Rattus norvegicus: one gene and its partner. The main gene of each other region encodes a partner of the protein of the gene in region 2 in a complex. Links are inferred from orthologs where the notes say so. Each region holds a gene or a part of one and is shown on either strand. Other genes may lie near its edges.

The links.
Region 1: the proteins of Anxa11 (region 2) and Tardbp are in contact, whole or in part, in a cryo-EM structure (PDB 9FOR), measured with the Homo sapiens proteins. The link is inferred for Rattus norvegicus from reciprocal best matches to the Homo sapiens genes ANXA11 and TARDBP. Residues at the interface, in NP_001148.1 of Homo sapiens: Gly56, Met57, Ala59, Met61, Ser62, Gly63, Phe65, Asn69, Pro71, Asn72, Leu73; in NP_031401.1 of Homo sapiens: Ala328, Leu330, Ser332, Trp334, Gly335, Met337, Gly338, Met339, Ala341, Ser342, Gln343.

What each region holds. Positions count from the first base shown.
Region 1 is NC_086023.1:164,342,383-164,346,988, forward strand, and holds the start of Tardbp (TAR DNA-binding protein 43), read right to left. Parts: upstream 2,823-4,606; 5' UTR 2,710-2,822; intron 2,579-2,709; exon of another isoform or gene 2,066-2,578; intron 1,548-2,065; 5' UTR 1,534-1,547; coding exon 1,296-1,533; intron 1-1,295. UniProt on the Homo sapiens protein: RNA-binding protein that is involved in various steps of RNA biogenesis and processing.
Region 2 is NC_086034.1:1,447,002-1,450,807, reverse strand, and holds part of Anxa11 (annexin A11), read right to left. Parts: intron 3,036-3,806; 5' UTR 3,028-3,035; coding exon 2,973-3,027; intron 1,750-2,972; coding exon 1,637-1,749; intron 1-1,636. UniProt on the Homo sapiens protein: Binds specifically to calcyclin in a calcium-dependent manner. Required for midbody formation and completion of the terminal phase of cytokinesis.

The DNA of each region.
Region 1 (4,606 bases), on a different chromosome or scaffold from region 2:
CCAACCCCAACACAGGGTCTCTTTTGTAGTCCTGGCTGTCCTCAATTTCTGAGATCCACTTGTCTCTCTGCCCCCTTGAATGCTGGAATCAAAGATGTACACCACCAGACCCAGTTTTCTCATACTTTCAAGAATATCAGTAGTAAGAAACAGAGAAAATCTTTAGTTCTGTAGGAACTCAAAATTTGGGCTAGTGCAACTGATATTTTTTGAGGAGGGAAAAAAAGAGATTAAGAACACTGATGCTGGGGTTGGGGATTTAGCTCAGTGGTAGAGCGCTTGCCTAGTAACCGCAAGGCCCTGGGTTCGGTTCGGTCCCCCGCTCCGGGAAAAAAAGAAAAGAAAAAAAAAAAAAAAAAGAACACTGGTGCTGTTGCTCTTCTGAGGATCAGGGTTTGGATGTCAGCACCCACACAGTAGCTCACAACCATACAGCTTTAGCTTCAGAAGGTCGGATGTCATTCTGTATCAGGTACAGAGTGCCAAGGTGCACATACAACACAATGTTAATAAACATAAATCTTAAAATGATGAGACAAAGATGAGACAGCTGCAAGAAAAAGCCAGGCAGTGGTGACATCTTTAAACCCAGCACTTGGCAGATCTGAGTTCAAGGTCAACCTTAGCTATCAAGTTTAACCATGGAGAAATCCTGTTTTAAGAAACCAAAAAAGAGGGGTTGGGGATTTAGCTCAGTGATAGAGCGCTTGCCTAGGAAGCACAAGGCCCTGGGTTTGGTCCCCCTGGGTCGGGGGGGGGGGGGGGGGAGAGGAACTGGAGGGATAGCTCAGCTGTTAACATTGACTGCTCTTTTAGAGGTCTTGAGTTTAATTCCTAGCAACCACATGGTGGCTCAAACCATCTGTAATAGGCTCCCATGCCCTCTTCTGGTGTGTGAAGACAGAGACTGTGCTCACATATGTCTTAAAAAGAAAAAAGCCTCGAGGAAAACTGGCTAAGCCAAATTCTTTTACAAAACAGATCTTTAAGGCATTTAGTTTTAACCACCTAAAATTGGCAATGACTATGTTCTGATGGCTTAACATTTAAATAGATGCTCCTCAAAAAAGAATCCTGCTTTTCAATTTTCACTTATTTAGACTGCTGACCTGCCAGACTAGTCTAAGCAAAGTTTGTGAAAAGGGCAGGATCCTAGGGGACATTCTTCCAAGGAAGGCCAAACCCTCAGGGATTCTCCAGCAAACATGGATGCCCAGGTATTATAGCCTCACTTAGGATGGCATACATATCTAACCATAGCCAGTAATATGGCAAAACCAAAGTGATTAACCAACCTTTGGGATAGTTGACAACATAGACCAGATTGCCCCAGCCAGCATCTGGGGCATGCAGAATTCCTTCCACCAGTCGGACACCTCTCATACACTGAGACACTGGATTCCGGTAGCGCAGGCCACACGCCCCTGGAAACTGGGCTGTAACTGTGGACAGCAACACTGTCCCATCGTCTTCTGATGGTATTTCAATGGGCTCATCATTCTCATCTTCTGTTACCCGAATATATTCAGACATCTTTGCTTAAATCTCTTAAAGGAAAAAGAAATGATCAAGAATATCAGAGCAATTATCTTTTTTATACTTAGTTACTATCACACCACTTTATTTTTTTCCCATTTCCTGAAAAGAGCACCACCAAAAAATGTTTCGTCATCCCTGGGGGGGGGGGGGTGAGGTGATCGAGGAAAAAATGTTTTCTAAAACAAAAAAATGTGATTTTTGCCGAGCATAGTAACCCACACCTTTAACCTCAGCACTTTTGAAGCAGAGGCAGGAACATATTTTTGAGTTCGAAGCCAGCCTGGTTTACAGAGTTCCGGGGCGGTCAGGACTACACAGAGAAAGCCAGTGGTGGTGTGATGCTGCCCCCATCCCCCCACCCCCGCCACAGTTCACCCATTTTCTCAGGCCTTACTATATGCTTCCGGTGCTAAAGTTGCAACAGTGTTACCATGTGGCCTGTTGGTTACAAAGCCAGACAAAAACAAGGTGTTAAGAACTAAGTATCTGTCCCCATTTTTTCCCCACTGGCAAACACTGTTCTTACCTGGAGTGCACAGATTACAGTCTACAGTATTTTTCGACTATTCTGAACTCATTTCATTAATTCTAAAGCCTGAGAGCCTAAATCGGGCTTAGCACGTGCTTTAAGTGTAAGAAATTAGCAATGCATTCAATTGGCTAAATCTTGACCGTGCCGGTGGAGCACGAAAACCGACGTTCAGAACAGAGACCCCGCAGTTCTATTCCTCATTTTCGGAAAGGTCTGGCTAAACTTGGGCGTCAAGGGAGCAACGACTGATACTCCTTGAGGTAGGCCGCCACTTCCCAGAAGGCCATGCGCGACAGACAACGTTGATTTCTCCCCCACCCCCGCCCTTTCAACTAGGCCCCGGGTGGGGCCGCGTGGGTCCAAGTCCCATAGTGAAAACGGTTAATTCTCAAATGCGAGAACCTTTAAGGACTAGCACTGCTGGGGCGCCGGGGCCGCGACAGACTTCCGCCCGCGGCTTCACAGCCCAGCAGGCCCGGCGCCCCGCTCCGGCTGCCGCCCGCGCTAGGCCCTAACGACGCGGTGGCGCGAGGCCAACTAGGCCCCGCTCCATAGCTCCCTTCCAGCGGTGCAGGTCGTCTCAGGTCTCCCCAAAGCAGCGCCCGAAGCACGCAAGCCGTCCTCGGCGAGCAACTCACCCACTGGGCCGCTGCTAGGAAGCACAACGAAGGATCGAAGACGGAAAGGAACCCAACAACAGCCGAGCTACCGCTTCGTGCCCACAAAATGGCGCTAGGGCCGCCTCCCGCCCTCGCCCGCCTTCGGCCTCTCCCAATTGCTTCCTGTCAGGAGGGGAGCTCTCCGAGAGTCGCCAGAGACGCTCTATCCTCGACGCGGCTCGGATACTAGCAGGCCCTTCGGCGTGCAGAACAGAGGAAAATAATACAGGAGTGAGAGGGTCTAGATCCGAAATGCTGAAAAATGAAGAACAGTGTGGTCTCGTAGGCTTTACGTTCCCCCTACGTCACGTGGAAGATGGCTTCGCCCGACCAACCGCCGGCCCCAGTTGAAGAGCTCGCGCGCGCTGAAAATACGCGAGACTAGCGTAGGCCGGGACTGGAGCGTATGGGCGGGGCTAGGAGGGAAGGGGCGGAGCCAGGGGCCGGCTGGATGCCGAAGGGCTAGTGGGGCTCCCTGAGTACCCTGGGTTTTAGGTCTAAAGGTTAGCCTTCGATGTCTCCTGCCTTTGCTTGTTAATTTCCGACATAGAAGCATTAACTTTGGTCTACAAAATGGTCCCTGTCCTAGGTACTACTTTGTGCCAAGTACCCTTTAGCACGCTCCGGCTCTAGGGGGAAAAAACCCAGAATCTTGTGAATGGCAAACGAGTGTTCTACCATTGACCTTGGGCTTAGCCACCAAATGCTGTTTTAGAGACAAGGACCTCAAAGTCACTGTGTAACCCTTTAACTCGTCACGGCTCCTCCTCCCCCATCGTCAGGCTCCGGAGTGTTGATGTTGCCCTGGCAGACTGTGTGATATTCTTGATACTCTCCTCTTTCAACAAGGGAAGAAACTGAGGCACAGAATTAAGTATCTTGCATGAAATATCCGTGAGAAAGAGGTCCCACTAGGATGAATCCTACAGCAGAAAATATTGGGAGGTTTCCTTATTTCGGTTCCAGTAGACGAGTCCTAGTTTAACTCTGTAAGTCCTGTGTAACTCTGAGGGCTAGCTCTACCACCAAGCCCCAGCTGTAGACTCTTTAGCCAGGATTGAAACTAACTGGTGTATCAGATTCAAAGCTTAGCCGCAAAGGTTTACACAGTTGCTTTGTTTACTGAAACTGGGTCTTGCTGTACAGAACAGACTGGCCTTGAGCTTGCAGTGATTCTCCTGTCTCTGCCTCCTTTCCGGGGCGGGGCGGGAATTACAGATCATCATCGTGCCAAGCTGAGTCTTCCCACTTTAAATTTATAAATGAACTCATTTCCTCCTCACCGGTACCTTGCAAGAAGATGGCATTGCGAGAACAGGTATTAATGTCTGGCCTGGAACTCCCGTTATAGTCCAGGCTGGCCAGGAATTCCTGGACAAACAGTCCTGCCTCAACCATCTGAGTGCTGGGATTATAAGCACAAGTCCTTCCACCCAGTATTATTTATGTTTTGGTTTTGGACTTTTTAAAAACAGCATCTCTAAGTAGTCTTTGGCTGGCCTGGAACTTAATGTGTAGATGAGGCTGGCCTCAAATTTGCAATGCCTGTCCTGCATCTGCCCCTCCAGTGCTGGGATTGCGGGTGTGAGTCACCCAAATGGTTTTTTGTTTGTCTTCTAAGACAGGGTTTCATAGAGCAGAGGCTGGGCCTGACCTTCTGACCATCCCGTTCCACCTCCCAGGTACTGGGATTACAGCCTGTGCTACCATGCCTGGCAAATTCAAGAACTTTAACAACTTAGAACAATGGTTACCTTTTTATTTCGTTTGTGTCCGTGCCTCTGTGCATGAACAGCTGCTCTGTGCAAGTGTGCCTGCTGAGCTATCTACCTGGCACCAGCTATAATTTTTTTAGACAGAGTCTCACTTATATTCC
Region 2 (3,806 bases):
TTCTCTACTGTGTCAGATCTTTGTTTAAGCCCTCCCCCTCCTCCTCCATGACTTTCTGTGATGAGACAGGGTTTCTCTGTGTAGCCCTGGCTGTTCTGAAACTTGCTCTGTAGACCAGGCTGCCCTTGAACTCCCAAGTGCTAGAATTAAAAGGTGTGCACCACTACCGCCTGGCTCAGGGTCCCTTTCTAATCCCCACCTTAAGGTTCTCAGTCTACATCGCCCCACCAGCACCTCTGAACCTTCCTGTGTTACTGCGATCCAGTCCATCCCCTCCGCCCTGTGCTGGGGCTTGAGTGTATGGCCTTACACTCTAGGCAAGCATTCTACTACTGACCAGAACATCCCGCTCTCTTTCTGCTTCCTTCTTTCCTTTCCTTTTCTACTCCTTATTTTGAGACAATGTCTAAGTTGCCCAGGCAGACCCTGAACCCACATCATAGCCCAAATAGGTCATGAACCTGGCATCCTCTTGCTCGGATTTCCAAGAAGCCATGGTCAGAGGCCTATGCCACCAGGGCCATGTATCTACTTTCCAATCTTCTTGCTCTCCTCTCCCTCTCTCATCCACCCCTGCCCTTCCTTTGATTCTTCTGTTTTCACCTGTCTCTCTATGCTGCCCAGTCTGAGCTGGAATTCTTCAGTCCTCATGAACTCATCTACCAAACGCTAGTTTGCCTCAGTGCCCAGAAGTGCCTGCCCCTGTTCCACATTGCCATCTGGTAGCTTCCACTATTTCCTGTCTCCTTGCTGCAGATGCTAAGTGTGCCTGGACTGAGATGTGTGTGTGTGTGTGTGTGTGTGCGTGTGCGCGCGCGCGCGCAGATACACATGGAGGCAGAAGTCCACCTCTGTGGGCACAGCATGTGTCACTGGCCCTGGGATCCCATGTAGGCTAGATTGGCTAGTCAGCAAGTCCAATGGATCTGCCAGTCTCTGCCTCCCTAGCACTAGATTACAAGGAGCACATCCGGCACTGTATGCATGGGTCCTGGGAACTGCACTCTGGGCCTAATGCTGGCTTTACAAGCACTTTAGCCCCTGGGCTATCTCTCCAGCCCAGAGGTTTTGCTTACTGCATTCACATATTTCAGGCACCTAGAACGGAACACTGGCATAAGTTTGGGCCTCTACTAGTTGATTGCAGTGTTCCCCTAAACACATATTTGCTTTCAGATTACAAGATAACATCCTTTTAAAAAGCGAAACAACAAATAAAACCAAGTACACCCTAACCTACCTGCTACAGGCCACCAAGTACCAACCAGAACAGCTTTGTTCACCCCAACAGCCCTCCACCCATACACTCACCTCCTTGCAGGTTTCGCGCTCAGCTCATGAGAAATTCTCAATAAATTCTCAATAAATTCCCTGCAGGTACCAGCCTAACCCAATCCCCTCGGGCTACAAGGACCTAAGAGACCATCATTGACAAGAATCTCTACCCCTAATATAGATGGGGACAGGAGGGCCCAGAGCAGGGTGGGTGTTAAGTGACGACCCTCATATTCTAAGTTGCTGCTCAGGATTCTATGCCACAGAAACAGGTGTGAGGTCTCGCTGGGGGCTTGGGATAAGCAGCCTTGATCCCTAGAGCTTTGCAGCTACCAGCCCAGGGGTACCAGGGCTGACTTACCATGCCCGAGAGGTAGTCCTGGTTGAACTGCCCTGCATAGTTGGCCACGTTATCCAGCCCGATAGGGGGCATGCTGGGAGGAGGGTAGCTAGCACCTCCCCAGGGAGCACCACCTGAAAGCAACACCAAGCCATCCTCAGCTCTGCATTCCCGCCCCAGTGACAGGGCAGAAGGGCAGAAAAGAGGGCTGCAGAGGGGCTGCCTCGAAAACCAAGCAGAGCATCAAACCAATGTTATAAAGACCCAGAAAGACTTGAAGAAGAGGGTCAGGGGAAGCAGCAGAGGCTTTCCCTTATTCCGGGGAAGGAGGCAGCTTCCTCCCTGGTGGGGATTCAGCCATGCTTTGTCCTCACAAACCCAGCATCAAGGGCTGAGAGAACAGATCCATCCTTAGGCTCTGTGCTGAGCTGAGCACATGAGCTATGCACTCCATGTGCTAAGGATTCTCAGATGGAGGGAAATGGAGCCATATCAGAGGACGGGGACACCATAAAGGACAGTACCAAGGAGCAACCACATGGCTGGCTGCGTGTCCTGGGGCAAGGCTCTCTCTAAACTACTTTCACTCATGTCTGCAGAAGTGTGACCTCAAGCTGTGAAGGTAAGGGCTGAGGAGGAGTCTGTGACATGGTGTCACAGACACAGAGTTTCTGCTGGAGAGGGGACTGATGTCACTGCGGCCAGATCGGAGAAAGGTCCAGCTTGGCTCGATGTACCCTGTGACAATGGCTGAGGTACTTAACTTCCCTGCTCCGTTTGGTCATTTCTGCTGAGTTCTCTCAACAGTAACTATCCTTGCAGCAGCCCTTGTCTCCTTACCCAGAAGCCTTCACGGTTCCCTCACTACTGTGGAAGCCAAATGTTTTCAGGAAACATTTCAGGGCAGGGCAGGGCAGGGCAGGGCAGGGCAGGGCAGGGGAGTCTTCAGAAGGAAGATTAGCTGAGCCACTGCCTCAGATGGGTGGTCTCACCCTATGACCAGGGGATCCTGGAAGCCATAGGGAAGAGGTTACAGAAAAGAATAGCAACCCTTGGTATTGGCCTCAGTGGGAGACCCTGATGCTGCAAAAGTCAAAATCTTATTCCTTGAAACAGTGCGCTAGTAGCAATACTTTGGAAGACACTTCCTGTAGGTTGTCACTCCCTGTCTCTCCCCCTGGGAATAGCCAGGGGAGGGAAAGAATCTTGAAGCTTTTTTGCCAATGAGAAAGAGTCTTAGAGTATAGCAGGCCTTTGCCCACTTGTAGGTTACTAAAGGCCCTCCCAGAGTCAGCCAAATCTAGGCCTCTCCAGCCCCCAGTCCTTTTACACAAAGGGTCTCCCTGGGTCCCCTTACCTGGTGCACCTGGAGGGTAGCCACCAGCAGGTGGTGGGTAGCCTGGGTAGCTCATGGGTAAAGCTGGAAAAGAAGAGAGAGTGCATTCAGATTATGTTGAGGGAGCTTCCGACCAGGTCCACTGACGTCTGCTTCTTGGGATCAGAGTCCAAGGCTAGGCCCCTACAGAAGGGATTAGTCCCCCCCCTCCCCAGTCCACACCTCCCTGCTGGGCCTCCAGGTAGGTCAGGCCCACCCCAAGGCTACAGGAGGGTGCAATACCACAAGCCAGCTAGCTGCCCGATTCCTTGATATCTGCTTCCCCAGGCCTGGTTTCTGTCTCCACCGACAAGAGTGCAAAGTGGCTGGGGTCTGGTCTGCTCTCTGACATCATATTCTAGGTAGAGCATCACCCAAGACTCAGAGTCTACTTGGGCTTTATCCTGCCAAGGACCATGTTAGGACCCTGTTTCCCTGCATCCCACCCACAACCCTCAAGCTTGCCAGAATGCTATCCCACGTCCCCTCAGGTCAGACCCAAGCTGCAAGCATAGACTAGCTGTCACAGTCTTAAACGGCAGGTCTGTGTCTCTCCTGGGCACTCCCCTGACATAAAATAACATGATTATTGTGGGAGTCATCATTCTTAGAAACAAGAGATGCCGTCAGAAGGGCCTGGCTGCTATAGAGCCCTGAATCAGGGCAGGTACCAAAGCCTGAAGAAAGGAAGAGTTACCTGGAAATGGGGCTGTAAGGGAGAGAAATAGCCTAGGGAGGCAGATAGGACACCTGCTCTCACCGTACTCTGTACACAACTCTTCAACAATGTCCTATGTCAATTAAAATGCCCCAGAA